Oryzias latipes: one gene and its partner. The protein of the gene in region 2 purifies or fractionates together with the protein of the main gene of each other region. This does not show direct contact. Links are inferred from orthologs where the notes say so. Each region holds a gene or a part of one and is shown on either strand. Other genes may lie near its edges.

Region 1 (15,560 bases), on a different chromosome or scaffold from region 2:
GCAACAAACAAAAGTGGAATTGAAAACAAAAGTTTCCAATTCCACTTTTGTTTGTTGCTCCAGAGTCAGTTTCCAATTCCTAGCTGAGAGGTTTTGAAGTTTTTTTCTTTCCTAATAAAAGCTTTTTTTCTGTAATCACATTTAAGGCAATGAACTGTGCTGGTCTTAAAACTGCTTGTATTCTCTCTTCAGGCAAGCCTTCAGAATCTCCAGAACCTACTTCAGCATGGTGCTGCTGGATGAGCGGGGGCTGGACCGTGAACGCTTCATTACTCCCGTATCTCAGGAGGAGCTGTTCTCCTACATAGACAGCTTCCTGCTGGATGAGGAGGAACGCGAGAGGCTGGACCTCCACAGAGACTTCTGTGACTAAATTCAGAGTTCTCAGGCTGAGGAGGAGGACTGACAACCAAAACCCAGATCCAAAGATAGATTTGTAAAAAATATTTAAAGAATAAACGGGCTTTTCTGATTCAATGTGATCACAAAACACAGAAGAGCAAATACTGAGGGAGATTCATATGAAGAAAACGATTAAAATATGCTGAGATATTGGATTTTTATAATTTACACTTGATGACTGATCAAATATGTAAAAACAGCCATTTTTACTAAAGTCGTCCAGCGACTCTCACATGTCAGAAGTTAAAAACTCTTCAGGATTCAACACAAAAACAGAAAAGGACAAACATTTTCAGGTGGGAGTGAACACGACTCTGCTAGTGCATTTACTCTGTCCCTTTTATTGGGTGAACAAATCTTTGAGGTCAGTGTGACCTCCATCACATTGTAAAGACGAGCTTAAGAGATCAAATGTACATTTAAAATCAAGAGTTTCATTTACTGGCTTTAATTCAACTTATTTATATACACAGATCATTCACGTCAGTCCTAAAGTGCAATTGTGTTGGATTGAACAAAGGCACAGTTCGGTTACAGCATAGAGAGAGAGAACTGTTCTGTGTTCTGGATACAATAAAAAGAAGCAGTGAGGCAAAGTGGATCTAAAGTTTGGAAACTTTAACAAACACAATCTGGATTTTAAAAACAGAAATAAACTGAGTGTGGTGATGCTTTGGCACGTTTCTCAACAGTCTGAAGTCATGGAACCTACAGAGAGGTAGGTCTTAACTCAGCATATCCAACAGTGGCGGTGGCTGGTTGGCATGAAAGCTGGAAGAAAGCCAGAACATCAATTTGGTCTCAGTTTCTGCACTTTTCACTTCTCATCACTTTAGTGTCTGGATCTCTTAGTGTTCAGCCTTCATTTCCCCTTTGTCTTTGCCATGGTGGAGCGCAGAGGAAGAGTGCCCTCTGCCCACGAGTCAGGGTACTGCATCATCTTCTGCCACAGACTGACTTCCTCTCCAACAGAGTCCAACTCCACCTCCTCTTTCCCAACTTTGATAGCTCCTGCAGAGAGGAAGGTAATATTGAAGGAATGCATTTTCTACTCTTGTGCTCACACAAGAATTGGAAAAACTTTACTATCCACAGAACAGGAACTAAAGATAATGTGTAAACAATACATTTTTAAAAAGTATTTAACATTTTATCATTTTTGTCTTAATAAAGTCACCGCTCCTGTGTCTCTGTGAGCGTTTGTCTCTGTATTTGCTGAAATGCTGTGGAGCGTCCTCAAACTTTTTCCTCATTGAGGCGATAAGAGTGTTATGTTTATACCGTTGCCAGAGCTGAGGCGGACACCTCCCAGTAATTCATTGTTCAGCACGGCCTCTTTGTCCCACACTGTCAGCTCCAAACACATGTCCTTCATCTGCTCCAGAGTCAGCTCCTTATACACAAATGTGGAATCATAGTGGGGATTCAGGTTCTTCTTCACCACTGGAGTCTTCATCTTCGCCGTCTTTGCCTTTGATGGAAACAAGTGACTGTAGAGCCACACACACCATGTTAGTTGAGCAACAACAAACAAAAAGAGATGTTCCAAAGCAGACTCCATCCTTTACCCTCTAACAAAACTGTCTGATGTGCTTCCAGATTTTCCTGACTTCAGATTTTTTGCCTCCTTGATGAGAACATGCAGCTCTCCTCTTTGGACTTGTGCAGCTTTTTTGCCTGAAGGAAAATTTAAATACTTGAAAAAAAGGGGTAAAAGCTTTAATAAAATAAAAAGACAGAAAATACATGTTTTCAAAATACCTTTCACTTTTTCAGTGGTAGTCTTATTGGGAGGGACATACTTCAGTGAGATGACCAACTCTCCACTGCACCGTTCAAAGGCTGCATCTGGTACATCAGAGCTCATCTGTTAGAGAAGAAAACATCATTACGAAGCAGTAGAAACATCAGAATGGTGACAAACGCCATCAAAGGATCACTTGGGCTGACAAATCCACGTCTGTTTGAATGACACCATAACAAATTCTGTCCACTGCTGCTCAGTAGAAACAGTTTCTTCTACAAGGTAAAACTGATTTAACTTCTCTGATGATATTTTATTAAGTTGTTTTAGATTTTGTTACACTTATCAGATGTTGCATTGAATCACACATTGAACATTCTAATCTGAATAATACTAAGACTTGTTCTGCTGAAAAAAAACTTTTTGGTATAGACTGACAGGCCTGTAAATTCCTCTGCCCTGAAACAAACAGATACACAGTTATTTAGGGACCAAATCCATTATGATCAATAATAATAATGTTTAATTTACAGACAAAGAATCTAAATTTAACTGAATTACATTTGTAATCTTTCGTAAAATACACTTGTTGTCTCACACACTCCTAATTTTTTAACAAAATACAGACAGCGCAACTCTTTACTTCAAAGTTTACTCCAGATTAAAAGTTATTTTTTCCAGATCTTAATAAAAAGGTCTTTCAAATTAAAATGACAAGTACAGTGTACAGTGTTCTTTCATTTATCAAGGGAGTTAGGTTGTAGAATGAAACCAAAGATCATCTTTATAAGCTTAATTTATTCTGTACTGCAAACACACAGCAAAACTGTGATAGGTGAACCGCGTTCTAGCAAGGGACCACTGTATTTTAGATAAGGTTGGGAAATCCTCTGACTGCCTTTTCTATACTCTGAACATTAGGAGGGGATCACAGCTCTGTTTGCACAGCTTCCATTTTAAAAGTAAAAAGAAAAGACAACTTGGTTAGTAATAAACGTGTAGAGTCTGACCCACCTTCCCCATGAGGTGCAAACATTCTTCATGAGGAGTGTCCAGGTTTGCACTGTCCAAAGGGATTGTCACCTCCCCCAGGAAGACGTTACGGCTGAGGCGGCCATGATGCCAAACGGATATCGACACAGATTGGCCGAGCAGTTCAGAGCGGCTCATGGAGTACTGTTGAAAAAAAAAAAACAACATCCATGATTGAAGGCTCAAACAAACCCAAGCCAGTTTAAATTAATCAGGACTGGGATTCAAACTTATTAGAGGATGCATATTGATGGTTTCACATTCCATTGACTTTTTAATTTATTTATTTTTTTATCAGTCTATGCATTAAAGTGACTTCAGTTTATTTATTTGGAGATTTGGAGGTCAGGGTTAGCCAATCACCTTTAGAGTTTCACTGAAAACAGGGTTGATGGTGTTTTTCTTGATACTGGTCTTCTTCTTGTTTTGGCGAGTTTTGCCGTGGAGCAGATAACATTTTACATAACTGAAAAAAAGAGAGCAGGTCAGAGAAAGCTTCTCCTCAACATGATCGCTAATCTTCTGCAGCATTTCCTGACTAAGTGCTGAGAAAGAATTTCTGTTGACGTTTAACTTCCTGTGAAGCTTTGCTAATCACCCCTGGGATGCAAGCATGCAGACTGTAAACACAGCCCCTTATCTGCACTGATCAAAGCTGTGCTAACATTACTTGGGGGTGTGTTTTTACTTGAAAATGTGTGGGTTTTTTGCTTTTTAAAAACACACAACCAGCACAGCGGCATGATGTGAAAAATCTCAGTAAGGTCTGCTTTCGACATTCAGCAGCTTCCTGTTACAGCTATCTCTGGAAGGAGTAGAATATTTACGGGTTGGACAGCTTCCGTGAGGCGTCACCGTGAGCCAGACCCTGGCACTCCTTGATGAAAACCTGCAAGCTCTGGGTGTGCTCGTCGTATCGCAGAGCAAAGACAACCTGCCCGCTCACCTCCACGGTGCCATAGTCTCCTGCATCGCTGTAAATACTCATCGTGCTGCCTAGCGAGCTCTGGGTGAACAAAAGGGGAACCATCTTTGTCAATGCTAAGACTTGAGCAGACTTTAGCTAGAAAAAGAATTAGATACAATCTTAGCATGACAGACAAAAAATCATTTAAATGTACCCAAAAAAAAAAAAACACTAAGCGCTTTCAACATCTCGTCTACATGTTTATTACAATCATTTAAATATTTCAATTTCTTCACCATCTTTAAATCTATAGGGTTTTATCAGATATTCCTATGAACAGATAATAATAGATTACTACGCTCATTTCCTGAAAAAAAGAAAAAACTATGAAAAATGTAGAAGCGGCAAGCAAAAATTATAGCATACCTCATAGTTTATTTCCTGCAGAAACGCCTTCAGCAAAATCTGGATGAACTGTTTTTGTAAATGTTTGCTATGCTTAAAAGAATCTCCATGAGGTTTTCTGGATGATTTAGATTTGTGTACTTGATGCTTTTGCATGAACAGCTTTTAGCAAAGCAAGTTCGCTCAGATTGAAGCTTTTCTGTTAGTCTACATGCAGACAAGCCATTGGCTAAAGTGAGCCTCAACTCCCCACTGCATTGCCCAGCAGCTCTCATCTAAGGACTGTGCCTTGGTGCCTTTATCTTATGTGTATTTAATGTTTCTAAACAAAGTGGGATGCTGTCTACTTCTGACAAACCTCATTATCTCTCCTGATATGAGGTCCCTGCCTGACTTCGTTTAGTAGTTTCTGATCAATCGTCTTTGGCTACGTTCACACTGCAGGCTGAAACGACCCAATTCTGATTTTTTTGCCCCTATGCGACCCAATTCCGATCTTTTCATGACAGTCTGAATGACACAGATCCGATCTTTTCAAATGCGACCCAGGCCACTTGGGTTTGCCGTCCTGAATCCGAAACGTATCCGATCTTTTCAATTGCGACTGCCGTCTGACTGGCCAGGCCACCTAAATCCGAATCGTACGTCATCGATACGCAACAAACGTCATCATTCTGCGTTGAAATAGGCGGGAACGAGAACGTAAACAGCAACCACGGCGGACGATGCTGCAGAGACCAGTCAGTGGAAGGGAAGCAACGTCCCCGATTGTATTAATATTTGGGGTGACAGCACTTTTCAGGCCAAACTCCAGGGCTCTTATCGCAACCGGGCGGTTTTTAAAAAAAAATTAACAGCTAAATGGCCGAGCGTGGTGTTGAACATTTTCTCGCGAGTACTTTTTTTTTTTCCTTTCTCCCCTACCCGACCGTGGTCAGAAGCGCGGGGGACCCAAGGCGGATCCTCCTCCTCCTCCCTGTTCTGACCCATAGATTCTCCAGGATTCTCCGGAATGGGTTAATAAAGAGTCCATAGCATTAATTCTGGGGGAAACCTCCTTTTATTACCGTTGTCCTTCCTCCGTAACACACAACATGAATGCGCGCCCACACTGCCGCCCCCCCCATTCTCTCCCACTGCACGCGCTCTTTTCCTGTCCCTTACACAACCGCGCGCGCGCGTGGGCCCAATACATTCCACAAAAGTGGTTACAGACGATCCCGCCTCCAATGCCTTCTTAAAAATGGGAAGATTGTTATTGTGCTGGCTCCTTTGTGAAAATAAATTTATTAATGAAAAAAGAGCTCTGCTGTTGACAACACTGTTGTTGACATCCATGTTAACGTAAGCTACTTCTGCAAACAACGAGTGACGTCATTCGACGTCGAGTACTCTTCTGCGCATGCGGGTCAACTCTGGGTTGTTTCACGGTCACACTGTAGATCACAAAAGTTCGGATTTACTTGGAAATGTGAACGGTCTAGCAAACAATTCGGATTTTTTCAAAAAATCGGAATTGAGCATTAAGCCCTGCAGTGTGAACGTAGCCTTTGTCTCCAAAACTGAAAAAGTTCACTTTTAGACAATAATTTAAAACAATATTTACGAAAATGCTTAAAGATTAAATAAAGCTATTGCATCCAATAAGCTAAACTGTTGATCTGTTGAAAAAGTAATACCACACAACTGTTCCCAAAAATATTATTGTAAATTCCACAGGCAGGCCGCTGACTTTTAAGATTTCAAAATAGACAAATGTTGTCAACAGATTAACTTTCAAACCTGCAACTTTACGAGCTGGGAGAAACTTAAGTGGCGTTACCTTTGAGTTGTAGAGGTTGGAGTGACTTTTAGTCATTTGTTTTTTGTGAAAGTTTACCAAGGTGTCAATATCTTCTTCCTCCTCCTCATCCTCCTGTGGAAAACAAACAAACTAAACTAAACGAATAACGGTGGCATTTTACCCTAGCAAAAGTAAGCCTTAAATAAAAAAAGGAAAACTACTTAAAGAAACAAATAAAAACGGTGGTCAAAAGAAGAACAAAACAACGTTTCAGAAATATATCTGCTGGAAATGAAGCGCTGTTTCCTTTTTCTACATGTCCACCTGTAAATCTAAGCCTGGAACGGAGCGGCTCCTCTTTCCCATTGAGGCCTCCGGGTTGCGACATCCATCCATAGAGTCCACTGTTGATGCAAACCCCCCAAAAAAGAAAGATCAATAAAAAAATGTTCATTTTGTAATTTGGCCACACATGTTGAAATAGATATACAGACCTGCAGGTGTTTGAGTTCGCTTCATGCTCTTCTTGAAGAGTTTTTCAACATCCAGCTCAGGGCTCAAACTGACTGGCTTTTCTTCAACCAACTACAATTGAAGGAAAATAATATAACTACAGTAGAGGAGAAATTAATTAATAATATATACTAAAAGCTTTTCTTACAGCTATAGGATTGGAGTTGCTGCTGTCAGTGCTGACGGCATCTGCTGTAACTGGGACAGACAAACTGGGAGCCCTGGATGGTGTTGGGCTGGAGGCGTTGGACCGCTGCAGTTCTCTGATTTACAGAATAAATGATCAATAACATGAAATTAAAAAAATATACAAAATCTCTTTTATAACCCATTTAAAAAGCATGACATCTTTACCATCTCTGCTGTAATTATATGACAGTTTAATTAATAATTTAATGAAATCAACGTAAAGTTGGGACGTCTCAGGAAAGTTTGTTTGGGTCTTAAGCTTAAATTGTTGATTCCAAGAGTCAGAACTAAACAAGGGAAATCAGCGTTTCAATATTCTGCAGCTAAAATCTGGAACAGCCTCCCTGAAGTCGTAAGACAGGCCTCTTCTGTCTTCATGTTCAAATCTAGACTTAAAACGTTTCTGTTTAGCCGTGTATATGACTGAAAGGTCCTATCTGCACTTTTCTTTCATTTCCTTCCTTTCTTTTTAAATCAATTTTCAATTTTTTTTCTTTTTTTTTTTTAAAGTAAATTTTACGTTGATTATTTCTATGATGTATTTTGATTTTAATGCATTTTTCTGTTTTGTGAAGCACCTTGAATTACTTTGTGTACGAATTGTGCTATAAAAATAAACTTGCCTTGCCTAAATTTGTGTCTCACATTTGGCTTTAAACCAAACCAAATATTAGTTGAAGGAAAAACAATGTAATTACAGTGAGAAGTGATGAAAAGGCTGAATATGGTTATTAAATCTGAGTTTACCCTGTCTCCTCAGGAGTCACACAACCAGATTCTGTATCAGTTCTGATGCTGGTGACACTGCGGTTTTCTGCAGACTCCGTGTCGCTGCGACTTGGCTTGGAAGAAAAACTTGTTTTTGATGAAACGCTGGTCTTTGATTCACTTGACTCCCTGGAAGCGATGGATCCAAGCGTCTCGCTCGAATTGCTGTTGAGGAGAACATAAAGAAAGTTGAAACATTTCTTTTTCTCGAGAGCCTGATAAAGAAGAAGCAGCACCTTTTCTTCTGTCTGGGAACAGGAATGGGTTTGGGTGGATCTGGATTTTTCTCAGTACTCTCTAGAAGCCCTTGCCCAGTCGTAACACGCTTTTTAACTGAAACAACACACAGCAACAAACGACAAGACATGTTCACAATTGTACTTTCAATAAAGTGGAATAAATCTATCACTTTACCACATGTTTTCATAACAGTGGGCTGGCGAGCACTTCCGGCTCCTGGACTCACATTGCGGCCTCTTTTTCAGGGAAGCTCTCACGAGGTCAAGTGCAGGAGTCATGGAAAAGCGGTTGGCCCTTTGATCATAAAACCAGTCGCCTGTTCTTTTCTTCACATCCCTGGAATTCCACACATTTAGCTTATTAAAAAGATCCACAATAAACAGAGCTTGTATAAAACTAATTATGGTGTTGTAGATATTGATACATAATTGAGAGGTCACTATGAAGCATTAAGATCAGAAAGTAGAAATAGTTGGTGTTAAACTAAAAAAATGAAAAGAAAAAGGGAAAGTTGTGGAGTGTTTAACCTTTTGTTTCCAATTGTTAAAATCTGTAAAGAATGAATACTCTGCAGCATTTTCTCTACCTGTACCAGTAAAAAGCCCAATGTGTGTTTTACATTCTTTCTTTTTAAGTTGAAGCACAAGTTCCAACTGCAAGACAAGTGAGCACTAATACATTTCTGTGTTCAGATGTGAGATAAGTTATGAAAGATCTAGCACTGTTCATACCACAGGTTTACAGAGTACAGATACCAAAACAAAGAAATGCCTTCCACATGCCATCCTCGGTGCACTATCAGTCAGAAAACCTGTTTGATGACTGCAAAAACCTTTTAGGCATTGTTTGTGAGGTCCAGCAAGTGCATGAGACATAAAATATGCACTGACACAAATTGATTTATCTTTCAGCAGACAGTAAAAATGACTGATTTCTTCTACAGTATAAAAGGTCCCAATATGGGAAATATTTCTGACCAAAACTAATTCGACAAAAACCTTTGCCATTGTGTGCAGCTCATTGAAGATGTGCAAACCATTCTCAAGCTTTTTTTTGTCTAATTGAATTAAGATTTCAGAGAAGTTAAAGTAAAAAAAAAGTACAGACAGATAAAAAAATGACCCCACTTAATCCAATCCAGCACAAATCATAGATATAACTATGTATAAAAGGACATAATGAAATTAAAGCAGACTGCAACTGTTAAAATTGAGTCAACTTTTAACTCAATATATTATATTTAATTTTATTTGTAAAATCAAAAGGTGCTTTGTTAAAGATTTGACTTATTTTTTTGGCAAAAACACCAACTGTTCATCCCCTTCTGCCCATAGCTGCCATAACCGGACAGCGTGAAACTTGTGCAGAGAACTGAGCAGGGAAAAAAAGCTACTATAGGAGTCACAAACAGTAAGGAATTTGAGTATGTTGAGGGACATTGATCTTACGATTCTTTGACACACACGGTGCAGAACCACGACCCGTCAGGCAGGACTGCTTGGCAGTTGCGGCACACGTTGTGTTTGCAGATCTTACACTGGCTGTTAAAAACTGCCAGCCGACTTAGAGGTTCCTGGCATCTGCCACAGCTGTGTTCGCTGTACTTTCCACTGCTACGTTTGGCCCCTTTCCTCTTTACTTCCAATAGCTCCGTCTTCAGCTTCCTGAGAGCAAAAGCACAGATCACAGCACCGTCAACACACAAAGACTTTTACAAACCAATTACAGGCATACATGTCAACTTCTTAAGACTTACACTGTTAGAAATTCGGTTTTTGGTGTTTTTAACATGTTCTTGTGGTATTTTTCGAATGATGGAGGACATATATGCATAAAACTCAGTTTAAAAATGGAATTTCAGAGTATTTCTTTATTCTAATCATTGGGAATCAGGAGCAGATGAAAAAAGTGCTGTTGGAAAAGAGCTCATTGTGATGTAGAGAAAACACATGGCGAGTCACAAGCTTCTTGATCCGCTCCGTTCTTTTGCATCCACTTATAGATGAAAAGATGTACGTCTTGGTTTCCTCGTCTGAGCTGACATCGGACTCAAAACTGCACAGCTGAATAGCTCCAATATTGCTCAGCATTTTTGTTGCAGAGCTAATGTTAGGTAGCACCCAGGAGAGTGTGTAAACAGCTCAGTTATAGGTGATGGGAAGGGGGCGGGGGTAACTCTGCATCAATGGTCCCACCCACACCTCTCAGGCAAATTCACAAACGCTTTTACAATGGATCAAAAGATGATCGCAGTGGGTCTTTAAAAATATAAATTCTACTGCTCCAAGACTCACTCAAAGCACATCTAAAAACTTTTATGGGTTTTAAAAAAAGGGCTTCAATGTTTTATTTAATGACAAAAAAGATATTTGAAACCAGAGAAACGATTTCTTAAAAAAATTGAAAAATTTCAAAATATAATCCAGATAAATCCCAGATAGTTTCTACATCTGTAGCCCGGAGGAGAAGCTAAGAAGAAGGCATTTCTAAATTTAAATGTGCTTCTTTCTTCACTCTGGACAAGCCCAGATCCGCTGTGGAGGTGAGTATGTGTGCAGCAGAAGTTACCATGGTGATATACCCTGGTACGACATAGTGAATCATATTGTAGCTGGAAAACTGGGCTGAGATCTGGAGATAGTTTGGTTAAATCCCAGATCCTGATAGTGGTAAAAACCTGGAAGTCTTAAATCTTTGAATAATAAAGCAACAGGTTACTTGAAGAAACACCATACTAACTAAAATGCAGGAGAACCTGCTCAGGAACAATTAATTCAAACAAGCATCAATCATGCCAATGTCTTTAAAAGAATTATCCTAAAATCAGCAAAGAGCTAAAGCCATTTATCCAGGATGAAGAAGACGCTTTCCAAGTACATTTACTACACTTTCTGGCATAGATGAAACAATAAACATGTCAGTGTTATTATTTAAATAAATAACTTCATAAAATCCAAATTCTCTAGGAAATCCAAGAGCTGAAGGGTTAAAAAAAAGTATCTCTTAACACCAAATTGATCTTATTTTTTTACTTTAGAAAAAAGTTTTCAGTTAAAGTTCCCCTCCAATCATCTTTTGATCTATTGTAAAAGTGTTCCCAGAGGTCTTATAATTAATATTATTTATATTTTTAGATAAAACAATCTAAAAAAAAGACTTTTTATAGGACATTTTTTCTGCAGCGCGGCAGTAGTTTATTAGAAATTCACCTCTGAGTTGTGGGTTAGACTCTTGGTGGATAGTAAGCCTTCACTCATTTCCCATCACCTCTTCTGTTCACACTCTCTCCCACTGGCTTACAGCCCTTCACAACCTCAACCTAACTTTACTGGTGCTACGAAAAGACGTTAATGGATATAATTGTCTACAAGTGGATGCACTGGAATGGAGCGGAGGAGAGCTGCAATGACAAGCTCTTTCAAACAGTGTTTGTTCTTCTGCTCCTGAATTACATTGATTTGAATAAAGAAACTTTAATCCTAATTTCCTTCACATATGCCTCCATCATAAGAACAATGCTCCAAGAAAATGTAAAAAAAACAAAAATGAAGATGTTCATTAATCTATTTCCATTAGAGTGGGTCTTCTAATAATTTCTTACACTTGTTTTTCTAACAAAAAAGTGCTTTCAAACGTTTTAAATGTGAGAATTTTTAGTAATAAAAGTTCCATATTTGTTTAGTTTATATCAGTTGTTGTGTGAAAACTTTTTAAAAACTAAACAAAATTGGGTTATATAGAAATTTGATTAATAAGTATTAAATCAAATCGCATCAAATTCAAAATCAAGTCAAAAGTTATCGAAGCGATGTCAAATCAGTTCAGTATTTTTGGCAGTGATGCTCAGTCCTAGTCATGCCTTAAAATATTTACATGTGTTAAATGTTTCAGATTATAGAAACTGTAAAAACGAATAAGAGTTTCTGTTTTCTTACCGTACACGCCGCTCCTCCGTGAGCCTCAGCTCCTCGTCCCGTTTCAGCACTTCCAGGATCTTCTCCCGCTCCAAGTCGGACAAGAAGCTCAGATTGATCATTTCCAGAGCCATGGCGATTTCAATTAGGAACCGTGTGGATAAACTGGTTTAAGGCTAAAGCCGTTCCACTGAGACAAGATCCATGAAGAGGAAGCCACAGTTTGGGAAGACAGCAAAAGCTGAATCTGTGTTTAGCCTTGCAGAACAAACCCAAAAAATATAAAGTCACATATTCAAGTAGACCTCCTTTAAAGGTTAAAATACGTTTGCCAAGAAATTAACATTTTCACATGACATGAGACATAAATCTGCAGCTGTAAAGCAAACTATCAACTATTCCCTGATGGGTGGGAATACAGATCCAGCATGTAGGGGCGTCTAAAAATCCACCAGAGTGCCTCTGACGGGGAGTGAGGTCGTTTAAAGTCAACCATGGTAAAACAACATGAATGTCATGCCTGGTTCCCACCCTCCAGCAGAGAGATGACAGGGTGGAGTTCAGCAGTTTATTTATTTAATCTTCATCTGACAGTGATCATCTGTTATGGTGTCAGTTAAAACTCATATAGATGTATAAACTAATTTACAGTGAATAGGCAAAGACACAGACTGGAAAGGCTTTTTCCTCGTTTTCTGAATGCCTGAGCCTCACTAAAAATAATAATGTACCAGCAGGACAGCAGGAGGAGGAGGGCAACTTACAATTGAACAGGAAATAACACTAAAATTCAAACGAGTTTTTAAAAACACATTATTGAGGCCATATTTTATTTTTCAACTGAAAATGACAAATGTTTGCGAATGGCTACCTTCTAAATAATAATTAGTTTTGATAATAATCACAAATTAAAACAGAATTGATATTTCGACTAATGAAAAAAAAGCATCGTTTGATGTGATTTTCAACGAGTTGCTGAGGCTAAATAGGGTAAACGTCGATAAAACATTTAAAATACTTGATAACCTACGTTGTTCTTCAGGGCGGTCGCTGAAGTGAAGGACCTCTGCGGACTGCCACCGCGTCAATGAGTCCACACTCAGGCTAATTGAGAGGAAACGCACACCTGCGTGCGTGAAGAAGAAGCTCGACGGCTCTGCTTCACCGCGACCGACAGAAACCGCAGCAAACAGCGGCGCACATGCTAATCCTGCACTCAAGTGTCGTGGAGCTACCACAAACTACAGCACAGCGCTCCTCCTCTTCTTCTACAACCATACCCCCTTCCAGCCAGGTTGTCTCCTCGCCTCCGGGAGCAGGGAGTTCGGTGCGCGCGGCGCCGCAGGAGTCCCAACAAGTACCGGAAGATGAAAGGAAAGTTCCCAGCAGCAGGCGGGCGCGAGCGCTTTTCCACGACAGACGCGTTTCCTTAACTGTTGATCAGAGAATGTGGAAAAGTCACGAACACCAGCTTGATTGGTATCACCCCCCCCCCCTTTATGTGTGACCAAACTTGGAAAACTTTTATTTTTAGCTTTAAATGCGTTAACCCAGAGCGAACAAGAGTTTTAAAGTAAAACGTGTTTTTTTTTTCTAAGTCGGAACAGGCCATTCTTGTCGCTCTTTCTTTGGAAGGTGCCATTATTATTTGTTGAGGCGTGTTTGGGGGATTAACGCACCATTAAGTAAACACTGCTCCTTTACAGTTAAAACTCTGCTGCCCCACTTAAAAACCAACTAGTCATTTATTTACTTTTTAGATGTTTTAAATTGTTGTTAGACATCACATAACGCTTGGAAATAAGTGTGTTGAATGGTTGTGATGCTCCTGTGAATCACTTCCCCACTCATTTGTATGTTTTCCATGATTTCACATTAAAAATTAACATGACTGTTCCTGCTAATAGACGCAGCATAATAATGTGGTGCTTTAATTGCTGAGTTTTAAGACCACTAGTCCTTAGCACCTCCTGACAAAGAAAGAAACTCTTTGCTTATTGTACAAAAATACAGTTCTAATTTGGTTTAAATATAGTGTATTTTTCAGGCTACAAATTGTTCTGGAGTACAAGCTGCAGCAGCCAAAAAGTGGACGATAAAGAAGGAACAAAAATTATAAATAAGTCACAGTTCAGGATAAGCTGCTCTTCTTTGAGAAACGTAACAAAATACAGGAACAAGCATGGCCATGTTATTTTGAAATCATAACAGAATAGATTATTTTATTCTGATTACACTCTTCATTATTGTAACATATTGATGTTTATTTAGCTTCGTGAAACATAAAAGGAATCCAGTATATTTGCGCAAAATATAAACAATTATTACCCACTTCAATGAAAATTACATTTTGGGTGTTTTTAAAATTTTCTGGTAGCATTTTTCTCATGATGGAGGATGTAGACCAAAGGTTTGGACTGTACACACAAAGTGTGTCCAAACTTTCGGTCTTCACTCTATATAAAGAAAATTACGCTTAAAATTTGTGATTCTGAGTATTTAAAAAAAAGTTAAATTGTGAATTAGGAGCAGACGAAAAAAATCTTGTTGGAAAAGCTTGTAGCAGTGATGTAGGTAGTTGGCAAATTCCCGGCCCTGCTCCATTCTGATACATCCACTTGTAAATGACTAGATGCATGTACATCTTTGTTTGTGGCTGGATAGCTCCAAATTTGCTCGCCATTTTGGTCACAGCAGTTGGAGGTGTGAGGGGCTGTGACAGAGTGTAAACAGATGGATGATGGGAGTGTGGGAAGGCTCACATTGCACCAACGGTCCAGTCTATAACTTAGAGGTGAATTCCCGATAAAACTCCTGCAGAAACTATGTTCTAGGAAACAGAACTTGTGATTTAGGCAAAAAACGGGATCACCCTAATTAAAAACACTGGGAACGCTTTGAATTTAGATCAAAGGATTATCGGAGTGGGATTTTAAGTTTTTTTTTAACAAGTTAAAAAACATTTGGGTGTTAAAATCCAGATGACCCTAAACATAACCTACAAAGTACACATAAAAGCACACATTAGTAATTCAAAAAGGATACAACACAGCAAAAGTGAAGCAGTAATGTAGAAAAAGGCCCAATAATCGTTTAATAACTGGCTTGATTCCTATGTGAGTGTCAGCATATATAAATATTATTGATCGGTTATCATTAATATAGGTTCTATAGGATAGCTTAGTATTGTGGTTGTTTGATCATAAACAAGGGAAACCACGTGTTTGATACTTTAACTGAATCTAGACTTTGCAGGTAAAACTACATAAATGTTCTGATTAAAACACATATGAGTCTTTACAGAAGCAGTACAAACACACACAGTGGATACAAATCAAGAGAAAAGGGAACATGTTGGACTATCACAGCTTGCAAGAAATGCTTAATTACTCCTTGGCATTAAACTTGACTGGACACATGAACCTCATTCTTCCAGATTGTTTTCCCTTATTTGGCTGACAGTCTTTCAAACCCTCTCAAGCAAGTGCAGGCCAGATGGCTGAGAAAAACCCCATCATGTGAGCCATATTATATCCACCATAATGAAACCGTTCACCATGCGAGCATCAACATCCGGCTTCTCCTCCTTACTATTCAGGTTTTCTCTGTAATGTGTCATCAGGGTGTGAGTCAGAAGTCAAACAAAGATCTGTGGACTACTAC
Region 2 (15,572 bases):
ATTTCAAATCACTTCTTCATCCTTTGTGTCACTTCAGAACAATTCCGCCAAGCCAGCCATAAAACTAGGCGATGCTGTAACGACTCAAGACCAGAGGAACCCAAACGCAGGAATGACTCGAAACCAAAAGTAGACGGTCACAGATTTACTCAGATTCACAGAAGTCAAACATCCAGTTGCAAACAAACAGGACTCTGCTACACTGAAAAACACAAAAACAGGAACTTACATACCTGACACATAATCAGAACTGAAAACAGCTGTGAAACCAGGTGAATGCACAGGGGGGGGGGCAGCTGCCAGCTGTGATCATCACAGATGCTTCTTGTTCTGCGGTGCTGTCAGTAACAAATACTGATACAGACGCCTACAATGTCCTCAAACGATCGTTGCTATTTATCAAAAGCATGTCAGTTGCACCCCTTAGCTAAACTATGCACAAAAAAAACGCAACTTGCACTCCAAAAAACAAAGTACAGCACATGTTAAAGTTCTAGTATAAAGCATTTTACTAGAAAAATACCCATTTAAAAGCATTGTAGTAAACATCTTTTCACGCTGTGAGTTTCTACTGTAGGAGAGCTTTACACACAACACAAAAGTTTCTGACATTTATAAGTTCATTTAAAAATGAGCACAGTTCATAAATGCAGCTGTATTTTAGGGTTAGGGTTAGGCACGTCTTTTAGCATCACACGAGTTGTGTGCTTCCCCACAGTCAAAGTGTCAGACAGCGTCTAATCATCACACTGCAGACGACTTGGTTTGGTTTTTGTAAGGATGAACATCAAACTGCCTAATTATCCATCATTATTGCTGTGAGGAAAGTCATTTCCTCTCTAGAAAAGCACTAGAGTTCTGTCTCACAACAACAATCCCAAACGATTGTGTACACAGGGTCAAGAACGACCCGTCCTCTTTACGGTGTGGGACAGTGAGACAGGCGGTCCTCATCTCAAAGTGGTTTCTATGGCTTCATGACAACACATGCAGATCAAGTGGCCTAAGTTCAGTCCTACGGTGCATTCAAACAGCTCTCACCGGTCATGTTTATTTGAGAAGGGGAAAGGTTCGCTGAAAATATTATGGCTTATGGCTTTTCTGGAAGTGACGGATGAATAAACGTACAGAATCCATGACATAAATCCTAAGGCCAGACTATCACCATGGTGACATTGATGGCCCAAATACCACAAACATGACTGTGGACAGTTTCATGCTGCAGCTGAATCATAGATAAATAAGAACAAGCAGAATGGACGTCTTCAGTGAATAATGAAAGCTAAATGTATAAATGATGGGAGAATCCATGACATTTTCCAAATAAAACTAATGTGGGCCTCAGCCAGGCTGAAATTGGGATCTCAGGAGTTTGTCAAAAAGCTGAAAGATCTTCTGAAAGATGTTTGGTGAGACTTGCAAACAAGGCAAAAGCCAACAGACTTCTACTCTTTTACGTTTCATGGAACCTGAAAAAACATAGGGAGAGGCTGAGCATGTGCAAAACAAAGTCTTAGTCCTAAACTTGATCTGGCATTTGTCTTTGTGCACTTTATTTTATAGCTTAAACTCCAATAGATCATCTTTTGATCTATAATTAAATCATACCCAGTGGTTTTTTTATTCTGATTATGCGGTTTTCTTTTGTTGTTTTTTTGCCAAAAATCACTAAACGTGTCGTTTTCAAGGACATAGTTTCTGCAGAACAGTTAAAAATTCACCTTTGAGTTGAGGCAGGACTGCTTGTTTGCAGTAAACCTGCCCCCACTTCCTTACACCCATGTCTTTACTAGCTCTCCCACCAGCTTACAACCCCTCAAACCCCCAGGCTAACATTAGCGGTGCAACAAAAATGGTGATCAATATCGTAGCTATCCAGGCGTACAGTTTAGCTCCAGATTCCAGCTCAGACCAGGAAAACAGACGTTCGTGGATCTGTTGGTCTGCTGGTGGATGATCAGAATGGAGCGTCTACGTCGCACATACAAGCTTCTGCAAACTGCATTTTTCTATTATTTGCTCCTGGTTCACAACAGTACGGTTCTCAGACAGGCAATTTGAAGTTGAAATAGAAAAACATGTTCAAAAACACCCATCTTCTGCTAACTGGCATGTGCAAATATGCAGCTCTGACAATTTCTTTTTCTCTTTTAAAGGATCTTTGCTGAGAACCTGGAACTATTTGAGGGTTATTTAATGAAAAAACCAGACTGTTCTTGGCTCAGACAGATTTCTGTTTGCCAGTGAATCTATGAGCTCAGAGAAAATCAGGTTGGTTTTTTTTTCTGGCCTGAGCCGGCTCTCGATCTTCAACTCAATATTATTCCTGCCAAGAAATCTCAGTGGAACGGAAAGTTAATTCTCCTGACAGCACGTCCTCTTGAGAGTCCACACGGGACTTTGAAAGGAGTGTGACTGCAGACGGTCGTCCTCATCCGTGTGGAAACTTTCTGTGTATTAATCCTCTTATGGAAGCTGAATCCTGCTGTTGCCGGTCAATACCTAGCAGGGGGTTAGCGGAGGATGGAGAGAGCCAAAAGGAAGAGGGCATACTGGCTAGAAAGGCCACCTTTAAGCCGAAAGGTCATGCAGAATTATCAGAGCAAAGCCGTGAGCACACGTGCAGCAGGTTTCCTCAGTTAAACCACAGCGGTCGGTGCCTTAGGTTTCACCAGTTTTACCATGGCAACTGCTGAATCATCTCCTGGGCCGCCATGATAACTGCAGATCAGTCCCAAAAGCACTGATGTAGAAATGACACTCAGCCTCTCCCCCCAAACAGAATCACAACCTATCGCAACACGGCTGGAATCAGGAAACCTTTAAATTCTAATTGAAATGTTTAGTGCTAAAAACATTTTGTGGTTCAGCAAACAACACAGAACCAGACACAAGGAAGGAAGGAAGAACGAAGAGAGCGGGCTTATCCTCAGGAGTTCCCACATTTCTATAAAACCTCTGAGACTTCATTAATTATCAGCTTTTCCAGCACAGTTCAAACCGCTTTGACACAAGCATCATCCAAACGTCTGATGATACCGATGCCTCCATCCTGCATATGATTGAAACGCTTTATGTTGTCGCTTTGAGCGACCGTAGTGGCTGTAGCTGTAGGGGTTACTAAGGTTTTAAAAATGAGCTAATAAGAATTGATGACTGCGCCGAGCTTCAACATGAACGCCTCTGAAGATGGTTTCAGCTGCATTTACTGCAAAAGCAGATCAAGGTGTTCCAGGTGTTGGCCAATTTTACCAGCTGTTTGAAAGTCTGTTTAAAGGAATGAACACAGGGGAGTGTGACGCCACTTGTTGGTTGGTTCTGGGCCCATTCAATGTCAAATAACATCAGTTACTTTTCTAAAATGGGGAAATTGAGGGAATATGTCGTCGTTGCATCCCTCTTTGGGGAGGAGGGAGGAAATGGGTACCAAGTACAGAAACAAGAGGGAAGAACATGTCAGCACATCGACCCTCAAGTGACACCCAAGGTAACAGCTGATCCTACCCCCACTTATGCTATGATTCTAACCTGGGAGGAGGGAGAACAGAAGTAACAAAGAATTTGAATAAACTGGGGGGTAAGTATTCCACACAGACGTTTATTAGGGTGAAACAAAAAACAAGGATACTAAAAACAAGGTCTGGGTTGATAAAGATCAATGAATTGATCCAAGCGTAGTAAATCAATGATCCATAAAAGTACAGATCGATCTTTTATACCTTTCCTTTTCCGTTGACCTAACGCATAACAGCAGCAAATCCAAAGTCTGCTAGCTTGATTCTAACTAATTCTAACGAGTTTTAAGCAAAGATTTGTGGTCTAAATTGTGGGGCGGCCGTGATGCAGCAGAAGGGCGGTCAACCCATTATCGTAAGGATGCAGGTTTGATTCCCGCCTTGCACACCCATGAGTCGATGCGTCCTTGGGCAAGACACTAACCCCACCTTGCCTCTGGTTGTAGGTGGGCGCCTGTGTTCGGCAGGGGAGCCGCCACCAGTGTGTGAATATGTGTGCAACTGTAAAGCGTTTTGAGCCTTGTAGGTAGAAAAGCACCATTTACGCCATTCAAATCACAGTTTTTTGCTATAATCTTCTAGAATAAAGTGTAATGCTATAGTGTGAGCTCCACCTAGTGGCCAAACTGAAACGCCCTCCAGGAGAGGCACAACATTTATTTTTGTACCATGTAGTCATTAACGTCGTCACAGTCACCAAAACACAACAACTACTCAAAATGCAACCAAAGATTAAATCTAACAGGGGAATTATGACCCTTGAAAATAAACAACTAATTATAGGCGGTCACAGGCTTCCACAGGCAGACAGCAGCGGCTGAAAAAGAAATTCCTCCCAGGAATTCAGCCGCCACTGGAGCAGGGGATTCTGGAAGCTTTTAAACTTCCCTCCCAGCCTGGCGATTGGTGGGATGAAAGCCTCAAATCAGCTCTACTGGAGGGGGGGCCAGCAGCAGTGGAGGGGCTGGACCTCTGCAGGAGCTGAAATTCACACAAATGCACACACACCAAACAAATGCAAATGCCTTCCCCTATCACAGCCCAACTTTTGTAGTATTGCTGCTTCGTGGGTTTTTTTTCAGCGCGACTTTGCATGTTTTTTTTTTTAGAAAGTGCAAAATTTCTGTGTCCTGCTTGGCAGATGATCTTGTCAATAAATCTCCTCCGTGCCGTGTCTCCTGTACAAATATGTGCAGCGTGTGACATTTGCATAAATCTGATTGCAATCAAATCTTTGTTTTCATTCTCCAATACTGGAAATATTTTTCTATAAAGGTTTAAACTTTGATTAAAGAGTAAAAAGTGTGAAAATGTTTGTCTGTCTGAGAAAACTCTATAAAGTGTGTAGTGAGGACTTTAACTGCCCTAAAACATCTATAATCCTATTTTGCAGATTTCACCTACAGCAGGTTATGTATGGAACAACTCAGACTGTACGAGGGACCACTGAATTCCCAGCTGTTCTCATTTCAGCTCAACATCTGTTAGAACCAAGTTCTCACTTTTAATTCCCAAATTTGACTAAAATCTAGAAATACAAAGCATTGCAGTTCCTCAAAAGGCACTAGGGGCTGGCTTCCAAAGCATTTCCCTAATACCTCTTATGCTAACGAAAACAATTTTACACCAAAAATAAAAATATTAACAGTCTAGTTTCAAAGACTGGTTCGTCTGCTTTCTTTTCCATTAATGACAGCATCTGGAGTCTTTTAGGCGACAGGAGTTATCATTTTGTCCTGTGTTTATACGTCTATTGTATCAACTTATCACAGGCGAAACTCTTCCACTCACTCAGCTACAGCTCTGTTGCCATGATAGTTTTTCCCCAATTGTTCTTTCCAGAATGCGTGGATGTAGATTTAAGGAAGAGACTGGCGTGAAAAGAAAAACAAAGATGTTTCCTTCAAAGTCTACAAATCTACAAAGTCAACAAGCTGCAGCAGCTACTTCTTTCAAAATCAAAGCCCAGAAACACGCCGACGTCTTAGTCCAGGATTGATAGAAAAGCAGAGGAAGAAGGAGCCTTTGTGTGGGCTCGCCTGTTTGAGCTTCTCAGACTCCTTCCATGGGTTATTCTCTGTAAGTGAGTCTCTTTTAGGGTCGTGGAAAACTGTGTTTTTCTGTTCTTTTCCCATCAGAAGGGATTTGAATGAGTATGTCGTCTCTGTTGAAAAGTCTGGAGTTTTCCTTCCACCAATGGTGTGTCCCATCTCCCCATGTACCCTTCAGGGGGAGCAGCAATCAACACATATTTATTTGATCACATTTATCTACAGTGTCTTAAAATTAGACTCAAAGATTCCATTTTTTATTCTTCCTGGCTTTGCCTGCTAATGTGAAAAGACAGTATCATTCAAACCTTAAAGTATTTCTGTAACGATTCATTTTAACAACAATTCTATGCATATCACTCATCTGTGGTTTACGGTTTGATTCCGTCTATATCAAGTCTTTTTGAACGATCCGATTCACCGACCTAAAGTGGATCCAGATCATCTTTATCCAAACTTCCACCAGTGTGACTCAGAGAGAAATTCCTGCTTCTGAACAGTGAGGTTTTCCAGATTCCTTGGGTTTCTTTAAGATAATCAAGTGTAGATGAAATATGGGTCCAAACAAACGAGTAAACTAGAATGAATGTCAAATCCATTCACATTTTAAAATGATTCGATGTGTCAGACAGACCGATCTGGTCGAATAACAGGAATAGAAATTGATTCTTCGATCAATTTGATTAATCGTCACACCGCTAGTTAAAAGTGAAAATATTTCAGACATTTTAACTTAAAATGCCTACTATCAGAAAAAACAACTTTGTTTAAATTTGTAGACCAAAAGATTTGGGTTCGGTTGATAAAATTGATAAATTGATCTGAATCGATCTCTACTTTAATGGATCAATAATCGATCCATTAAAGTAGAGAATCTTTTATGCCTTTCCTTTTCATTTAATACATAACAGCAGTAGAGCCAAAGTCTGCTAGCTTGATGCTAACGTATAATGGAATTTCCCATAGGACGGCTAATGCTAACGCTCGGTAGACCTAAACATACATTGCTGACTAAATAAACCGCTTTAAATTTTAAGGAAACATTTTTTAAAAATTAACCATTTGTGGTCTCAATCACTGTTTTTGGTCAAATCTTCTAGACTAAAGTGAAATGCTATAGCATGAGCGCCACCTAGTGGTTTAACTGAAAGCCCCCCAGGAGAAGCGAAACATGTATTTTTGTAACATGAGCGAGTTTGGAGCCTTTACAATGTTCTTCAAAAACACGCAACACTGCATGTTAACAATCTCATTAGATCATTATTTCACTCGTACATTTTACAGTATGTGAACTGTGTTCTATTAATATGAATACCTTCAAAACATATTTAGAATATTAATGCGTTTCTATACAAACATACCTAAATGTTTAAATTCAATCGTGTAAAGTCAAAATTGAATCGAGTTGATCGAAAGAATAGAAAAAAATGGGATTTGTATGAGCTTGTCGTCTCCACAGATTCTGAATCATCCGGGCTCTTGTGAATCGAATCCATTCTGGAATTTATTATTAATGATCTACAGCTCTACAAAAGATCCGGTGGAAAGGAGCTTAAACATCTCCAAATGTCTGAGTTCAAACAATATCCTGACTTAGGGAGTTTTCTTAGTTCATATCCAAAAGTCTAGAAACTTTCTTAGCTTCTGTGTTTCTCTTTTTCCTAAACGCCTTCAAAGATCTACCAAAGTTAATCTGAACACAACCAGAAGATATTTCTAAATAAATTCAAATTATTCTGGGTAAGGTTATTTTTGTGGAGCTTTGATCTGAGCCACTTTAGTCATTCAGAGCTTAGATTTCTAGAGGACCACATTACAACCTGGAGACAGAACTGCAGGAACATTTGTAAACTCCTAAAGTGACCAGCACATCAGTAAACAAGGTTTTTATGTGCTAAAACACAGAATAATTCAGGTTTAACCCTCCTCTCCAATCCTTAAGGTGCTTTTCCAGAATATTCCACATATCCTTATTATCCTAGATCAGAGGATCCAACAAATGAGTTTACAGGACTAAATAAGATCCAAATTTTATCATATAATGCGGATAAAGTTCGGATAATAAAGCTCAGTTCGTAACCCTTGTGTGAGCGTTGGGAGTTGGGTCATCTAGACCCACTAGACAGTGCTCTGAACCTTTTTTCTTCAATGATTTGTGATCTTCACTGGTGTCCATGGATTACATGAAATCTCTTCACCTTTATCCACCTTTGTCATGGTAGGGAGAACATGTCAATGGAAGGGGGGGGGGTCATCTGGACCCCACAAGACCGCACAAGCGTTAATGTTGGTTAATTCTTTTGGGTTGCAGATGAGCGATGTGTCACTGTGACCCGTTTCCAGACTGGCACCCTCTTTCCTGCTTTGGATTCATCTTATTATCCATTTTCAGTATTTTCCAGCCGAAGTGTGGAAGCACTGGCCAACCGTCCAATCATTAATATGATGTAGGAAGCAAAACACCAACAACAACAACAACAACAACAACAACAACAACAACAAAAAGACTTGAGTGTCAGCAGGCTTTTGTTAAGGGTTGTGGGCACCAAAGCCCCACAAGTACGGCAGCTCAGAGAGGACGGCAGCATGTGAGCTGATACCAGATCCCGGCCTGTGATGGGACAAAACTGTGCAAACCTGATTTCCATATGGAGGCGACCCAAATGCAAATGTGTTTCCAAGCAGCAGCAGTGTTTTTTTCATTTATTTATGTAGAAACTATGTTTAGTTTCCTTTTATAGGAAACTGGTCCAAATCCTGATCACAAAATCTACAGAATCCATGTTTGACTGATTTAACGGTGAGCTAATGTATGACCCTCATGTCATGTCCTACTAGGAAACATTGAATGAAGGAGACAGAATGATGAAAACATTGTTTCAGAGATAAGAAAAGTTTTTCCTGCTTATTTATTAAGACAAGTGAATCCTTCACTTGACTGTCTACAACATATCAGTAAAGAATTGCCCGATCCTTTTTGTCTTTTAGATCAGAAGTTCGGCAGAACCGCAGGTAGGACAAGGAGTGAGAAAGTTAGAGGTGCTGAGGATTCTCCTCCAGGAGAAGTTCTGCTGCAGCTTCTCCTCCAGACTCCCTCCGTCTCCCCCACCCTCACAAAGTTTGCAACTGTTGGAGCCAGCAGTCGCTCCGGAACCAGAACCGTTCCTGAGTCCCGTCAGCGTCCTCACGCGCTCAGCAGACCGCGTGCTCCCGCAGAAGCCGGAGCGCAGAGGAGGCGCGCCTCGCACGCGCCGCGGCTGCAGACTGTCCGGCAGCCCCGCGCCGGCCGGGCTATGACTCATCCCCGCCGCTGCTGCTGCTGCTGCTGCTGCTGCTGCTGCTGCTACGGGGAGCGCGGAGATCCGCCGCCGAACCTCCGAGCGCTGCGGACACGAACCCGCAACCGGCTTTCCTGCGAGACTCACCGCTTTGTGACGAGAAGAAGCCCCTCAGATGCGCTCAGGCGTCTGCTGCGTCTGCTGCCCGGACTCCTCTCCTCCGCCTCCGAGACGTCGCATCGCTCCCCCCGGTCCAGACCGGAGGCAGAGTCCGCTCACAGGCCCCCACACCGGGCTGAGACGGCGCGGGAGGGAGGGAGGGGGGTGCCGGCTGACGACAAGCGGGAGAGTCCCTCTGAGAGGCCGACCAGTCCGATGGACGCCGCTCTGCTTCCTCCGGGAGGGGGGGCGTGACGCCCGCGGTGCTTTTACGGACCTCACGGAGAGCGGGATTACCCTAATTTTCTCAATTTGGAGTCAGAGCACACTCAAACCAGATTTAAATTAAACATTGACACACTGTAGTTTTGGTTGTAATCCCCCTGAAACAGTTATCCATCTTTTTTGGTATTGTCCCAAAGTTAAGGTTTTTTAGCAGAAGATGTGTGATTTTATTAATGATAAAATTGATTCTTGTTTTGTCCTTTTTTGGAAAGATGTCTTGTTGGGTCTAATATCAAAAAATATGCAAAATTTGTTACTCATTTTGGCCAAATTCTATGTTCATAAAAGTAAAATTTATGGTAGAAGACCCTGTCTCACTGTATTCCTTTCTGAATTAAATCAGTATATCAACAGTATTCGAAATTCAGAGAAGCAAAAAGCAATCAGAACATTGTCTGTATGTGATAGATTCAGTATTTTCTCGTAGAGTTTAACCCCTTGGCTTATTTATTTCTATCTCTATTCTTGTTCTTCTGTTTGTTACAGACGTGTATTTGATATTTGCAGTTGTGTTTTTTATTGCATACCTAAAAGTACATCCTTGTAAAATGGCATAATGTGCAATAAAGTTTATTTAAAAAAAAAAGGAGTCAGAGCACACTGAGGAGGAGAGCGGAGTCACTGCATGAACAAAATGAGCTTTAAAGTCCTGACAAAGACATTACTGACATGAAATTCTCTCAAGACACAAAACAAACGACTGACTACAATGTATTCACTGGTAAAATGACTTCACTACCCTGAGCAAAATGTAGCACACTTGATTTCTCTAAGTATACTTGAGTATAAGTATAGTGTACTACAGACCATGGATGCATAGTGTAGAAAGTATACTATCTGAATAATTCTACAGAACATTTTACATTTACAATATATCGATCGAGACACTGCAGTCATCTGACATTGAGAAAAACCTTGTAAAGAAAATATTAGAATTACATTAAATATTTAAATTAGGTAATGTTTTCCTTTGGGTCTACTTTAAATGGGACTGATATGACTGGATGTCCACAGTGTAGTTGCAGCTCCTTCACCTGAACTCTAACTAACTGGATGTCAATTAAAGAATTTCCAAAACAAAGAGAAAACTTTTATTTAATTTTATTTATTTATTTTTTGCTAAAGCCAATAATGGTGCAGTATAGTAAGCATGTTTGCATCAGAAATGGCAGTTTACTAGTAATTCCCACAGTAAGTGAATGCACCAAAGGAAAAGAATTGCAGTTCCACGATACAAACTGAAGTCGAAAATGTTCTTCTGGGTCATAACGTCCTCCATATTTCTCCACTTTCAGTTTACCTGTAAGTTCAACAGGTGGAGGCTCAAAGCAACGGTTCTGACATTTAGCAATTTTTTTAATCATTTAGACGCAGCAGCAGATAAGACCCAAGAGTTTTATCATTTAAATAATTCACTTCACGCAAAAACAACAATTAGAAACAAAGTCCATGATAAATGCAATGCAAAAAAATAACACTAAGACTGTAATTAAGGATGAATCAGGAAACATCCATCTTGTCTGCATCTGCACAGCATGGTCAAAGCCTGCAGGAGGCCTTCAGTGGATGCTGCTCTTCTCAGTGACCTCATTTTAGATTCACTCATTCCTGCAACCTTGAGTGAAACAAGGAAACAGAAAAAATTTAAAAGCTCGGGAACCTGTTTCTTTGAAAAGAGCCATTGTCTCACGTTGGAAACTCCACCATGAACTCTGGTTAAATGTGTTGGAGCTCACAGCAAAAGGAAAAATAGAAAGATTCATGGAAATAAAGAACACCTATCCGGAATTTTAGTGTAAAATCACATTCAAATTTAAATTGCACCATCCTGGAAAAAGCGTGTGCTCAATGAGAAGATGTTTGTTTTATTATCCTGAACGACAAACTGCAGCATCAGTGGCTGTGCTCCTTTTTCTGAACATTCATTTGCTACTGCAGTTCAGGAGCAGGACCCACTGTCTGGATTCTCTAACTGTCCCTTCCATTGTTTCTGCAACTGAGCTCAGACCAGCCCAGTACAGAAAGATTACAGTCTGGTTTGCATGTTGTGCTGGAATCCTTTCCTCTCTGCAGCGGGTCAAGTGCTGGTTTGCTCAGCGTTCATCCTGAAGGGTTTGTTTCAGACAAAAGAAGTGTTGGGTTGGATTCTGTCAGAGCAGGAACCCGTGGAAGAAACTAACAAAGTGTTGCTTTTCTGCTTTGAATTGTTGATATTATTGCAAACATGGATCTTTTTTGGTGCGCAGAGATGAGTAAGGGTCATTGGCCTCCCAAGTGTGCATTATCAGAATTCTGCAAGTCCAGAATTACAGTTTGGATCAATTTCTTTCTCATAAAGCAGAGTGTTTGTTACGTGGTGCGTTGTCACGGTAACGTGACAACCCGCCACACCACTGCTGCAGTCAAGGTCTGGCGGTATAAAGCGATATATCAATGCTGAAGGTCATGATGGGTTAAATGAAGCATCAGTTCAGAGAGAAAGTTCACCCCTTACCGCTTGTTTTTGTCCAGAGAATGAAGCTAAAGTTTATTTTTAAAGAAGCTGGCGCAGTGATACAGAACATGTAAGCTATGTGACCGGAACTTATTTTTTAGGCGTGCATCATCACTGTGCATTGTCACTTTTTAATGCACACCCAGCAGCCAATGAGAATCGAGTATTTACTATTGGTCTAATAACTAAAATAGCACCTCATTGATGTGTTTACCTCCAGAAGAACTCACTGACAGTAAACAACGTGTGGAAAAACTTACTACTCAACCCCAATTAATCACTCAGTCAATTCTTATTGGCTCCCATGTTAGTTGTCATGGAAACCAGGCATCTCTGCAGGCATGTTATGTGTACGATGCTGCATTGTGAAGAGAAGCACAGCTCCGTGCTGGGAGTGTTCGTGCTGCAGATGTGGATCACAGGGAGAGTTAAAGAACTGCCTCATGTGTGACCTCGAGTGTCCAAACATCAAGGCGCCGTCAGGACTAAACCGCCTCATGCTGCCATAGAGACATGAGTGTGGATTCAGAATGGTGGGGGTTCTCTTTTTAATTAGTCAGGACTTACAGAAAGGGTTAAAGCAAAAAGAAAAGAGGAAGAAGAAGAAAGGATGCAGACATTCAGTAATGGTGGTTGAGGAATGCTGCAGAAGTAAAGGTGTCCTGCACAGCATGAACTCTGGACCTGCAGAGAGCCAGAACAGCCCAGGCTGGACGGCTGCTGGGTGTGTGGCTTTGTACAGCAATCTGGGAAGTTTATGTGTTTCATTTTTTTCCCGCCATCACAGTTTAGTGTCCAGAGTGACCGTACTGCTACAAATTACAGTCTGAACCGGTTCCAACAGCAAAGTGACGAAGGAAGTTCCTGTGAATTTTGGTGCAAACGGTGAATGATCTTGATTTTGTTTTCTTTGTAACCCAAAGAACTATCGTGGGTTTGAGGAAGCTCCTTAAGCGAGAGGCTCTCACTGACAGGTTACACAAACGGAACTCAAAAATCCTTTTCTCACGAAAGTTCATTTGGTTCCGGATCAGTGCTTATCTGGATCTGCTCAAGCTTCCTAAAGAGCCTGTTTTCCACAGACACAAGCCTAAGTCAGAACCACATTACTGCACCGTCCGACACGCCGTGGTCTGCAGAGAGGAAGAGGGTAGGACAGCTCTGGAAGAGGAAATAAACAAGGTCGTCGTTTATAACTTGGATGTCTACGTTGACCATCACACATGGTCAAAAGTCCACTCCATCTCATCTTCAGGCCAACTTTGTTCATGTAAAAATTCATTTCTATTCAATTTTATTTGTATAGCCCAAATTCCCAACAACAGTCGTCTGGATTGGCTCTGTAACGGTAATTGAAAGAGTAAAACATAAAATCAAAAGGATCATGAGTACATAGAACTCAATCAGAAAAAGCTAAATTGAACTAACTAAACGAAACTGGCATCCCTGCTCTTAGACCCCCCTTCGCGGTCAGGAAAAACTCCCAAAAAAAATGGATTCTGGAAAAACAAAGAAACCTCAGGGGTGCCCACATGAAGGAGGGATCCTCCCCCAGGACGGACAGGCGATGTACCAGAACTCATAGAGAAGAATTAACTTATCTAAATCTACAACTACATGGGTAACCCTTGTGCTATCCTAGGCACGTTGACATTGGGAGTGGGGTCATCTAGACCCACTAGACAGTGCTCTGAACCTTTTTTCTTCAATGATTTGTGATCTTCACTGGTGTCCATGGATTACATGAAATCTTTCCACCTTTATCCACCTTTGTCATGGTAGGGAGAACATGTCAATGCAAGGGTGGGGTCATCTAAGATACCACAAGGGTTAAAGTCCAGCAGATGAACTTCATCCAGACGGAGTTGGGGGGACAACCGGGGGCGCGAGACGAGCCGGAGGCAGGATCCACAGCCAAGTGTTTAACCCAGGTAAACCCCACAGTTCACCACAGATGTAATCGGTCTGAAGTGGTTCTTCACTGTGGCCGTCAAAAAAACTGGTTTCTGTGAAGAACAAGTTTTGTGAGCCAGAAGCTGGTGCTTAGATGGTGGGACACCAAAGAACTGAGGCTGGGTCAGGGTCTGACACAGAACCTGAACTGGAGCCATCTCCAGAGAAAAATGGGCTGTAGGTTCAAGAAGAGAGCACCTGCTTTCGGTGCTGACCACCAACAATTTGACTACAGTTGGTGGAAGAAGGAGAGGAGGCAGTGACTGCAAAGCAGTGTTCCAGGACAGCAGTGATGGAAGACATGAAAGTAGCTGGCGTTGGAGTAGAGCAAGCAGAAGACTGGGTTAGATGGAGGAAGCTGATTCGCTGTGGTGATCCCTGAAGAGGAAAACTGACTCATGCCAGAGACGATCCATCCATCCAGCCATCCGTCTTCTGAATCCCTCTCAGGGTCACAGGGTTGCTGGAGCCTGTCCCTGCTACAGTCAGGTGAGGTTCACCCTGAAAGGGTGACCAGTCTGTTGCAGGGGCCACAGATGGTCTTTGTAGGTGCCATGAATTAACTTGGGTTTTTGTTAGGGTGAATGAATTTTATTTTTTGTTTATGTTTTGATTATAGGCCATTGAGTAGGCAATCAGCTGGTGGGTCACATGTTTGTGGGCGGTGACATTAATTGATTTTAACTCGCCTGTGGTTTTTCCCTGTGTAAAATGGAAGGGGGGGGGGGGGGGGGGGAGCTGGGTTGCCGTATTTTTTGTTGACTGCTTTCTAGGCTTTTTTTTCACTTTTGTGCTTTTTTTAATTCTTTGTTTGTTCTCTTTTTTTGATCACAATATAACAAGTGGATTAAAACTTCATAATACAAACGTCATTATGCTTCCTGGTTTTTGAGCGCGTCATTCAACCCGGACCCAGCATCAGCCTCTCAGCGACTGGTTGGTTTTGAAGTCGTAAAGAAAAAACGTCTCAACAGTCAGTGGTTCTGTTTAAAATCCTGCAGCTTTAGAGGATCCTTTGTCACCACAGTTATCACAAACTGAGGCAGCGATTGGACCTTATGACAAACTCTATGAGATTTCCTTTAGGCCTCTGACTTACCTGTGACATGAGTGGCAGTGACTTTGTGAGTCTGAGGCATTCAGCTTCAGAGATTTGGCACAAAAGATAAAATGAAAAAACTTGAAAAAGTTTACATGTAAACAAACCTGCAAGATGCCACTGATGGAACTGTATGAGGCAAGACATGATCAATAAATACAGAAATGTCACTTCTGCATAGCACCTATGCAGAAGTGACATTTCTGTATTTATTGATCATGTCTTGTTAAATGAATGTGTAACAGGTACAAAACTGTAAATGAAAATACACATATCATCGCTCCTTTTGTCTTGTTTTATTTGTCTATTTTAAACTCTTGTGTTTATTTTCATTTGTGTTTGAAATAGAGAAAATTGAATTGAATTGCAAACATTTTTGTAAAATCCAGTAGCAAGAAAGATGATTAGTTTCTTTAGTGATCCTCAATTCCCTCTTCTTCACACTCATCCTTTATCCTTTTCCTTTCACAGCTTTCTCCAGTATTTAGGTATATCTGGAATACACTGCAGAAACAGGCCCCCTTAGAAACAGTCTGACCCTATTGGCACATTTTATCTAAATAATCAGGAAAATCTGTCAATGAGGTCAGAAAAATGTATTTGCGCTTTCTCAGAATGTATTTTTTCCTGAATTGACTTCATTCAAAAATCTATGAAAGCATAAATTTCTAAAAGATTTTCACCTAGAAATAATGTTTCCAGAATTCTTGATACGTGTTTGCTGCCTTTGGACTTCCT

What was found.
Region 1: the proteins of rab27b (region 2) and sytl4 purify together in Homo sapiens (co-immunoprecipitation; 3 studies listed by BioGRID and IntAct, counting the BioPlex papers as one, with this or other methods). This does not show direct contact. The link is inferred for Oryzias latipes from reciprocal best matches to the Homo sapiens genes RAB27B and SYTL4.

What each region holds. Positions count from the first base shown.
Region 1 is NC_019868.2:10,074,807-10,090,366, reverse strand, and holds sytl4 (synaptotagmin-like protein 4), read right to left. Parts: upstream 13,345-15,560; 5' UTR 12,928-13,344; intron 12,156-12,927; 5' UTR 12,032-12,155; coding exon 11,919-12,031; intron 9,648-11,918; coding exon 9,432-9,647; intron 8,320-9,431; coding exon 8,210-8,319; intron 8,077-8,209; coding exon 7,980-8,076; intron 7,909-7,979; coding exon 7,723-7,908; intron 7,050-7,722; coding exon 6,935-7,049; intron 6,859-6,934; coding exon 6,768-6,858; intron 6,678-6,767; coding exon 6,598-6,677; intron 6,406-6,597; coding exon 6,313-6,405; intron 4,185-6,312; coding exon 4,006-4,184; intron 3,645-4,005; coding exon 3,542-3,644; intron 3,323-3,541; coding exon 3,161-3,322; intron 2,270-3,160; coding exon 2,164-2,269; intron 2,080-2,163; coding exon 1,971-2,079; intron 1,893-1,970; coding exon 1,684-1,892; intron 1,414-1,683; coding exon 1,265-1,413; 3' UTR 724-1,264; downstream 1-723. Other genes in the region: sushi repeat-containing protein SRPX2, read left to right, coding at 193-373. UniProt on the Homo sapiens protein: Modulates exocytosis of dense-core granules and secretion of hormones in the pancreas and the pituitary. Interacts with vesicles containing negatively charged phospholipids in a Ca(2+)-independent manner.
Region 2 is NC_019870.2:28,271,893-28,287,464, reverse strand, and holds the start of rab27b (ras-related protein Rab-27B), read right to left. Parts: upstream 9,251-15,572; 5' UTR 8,992-9,250; intron 1-8,991. UniProt on the Homo sapiens protein: Small GTPase which cycles between active GTP-bound and inactive GDP-bound states. In its active state, binds to a variety of effector proteins to regulate homeostasis of late endocytic pathway, including endosomal positioning, maturation and secretion.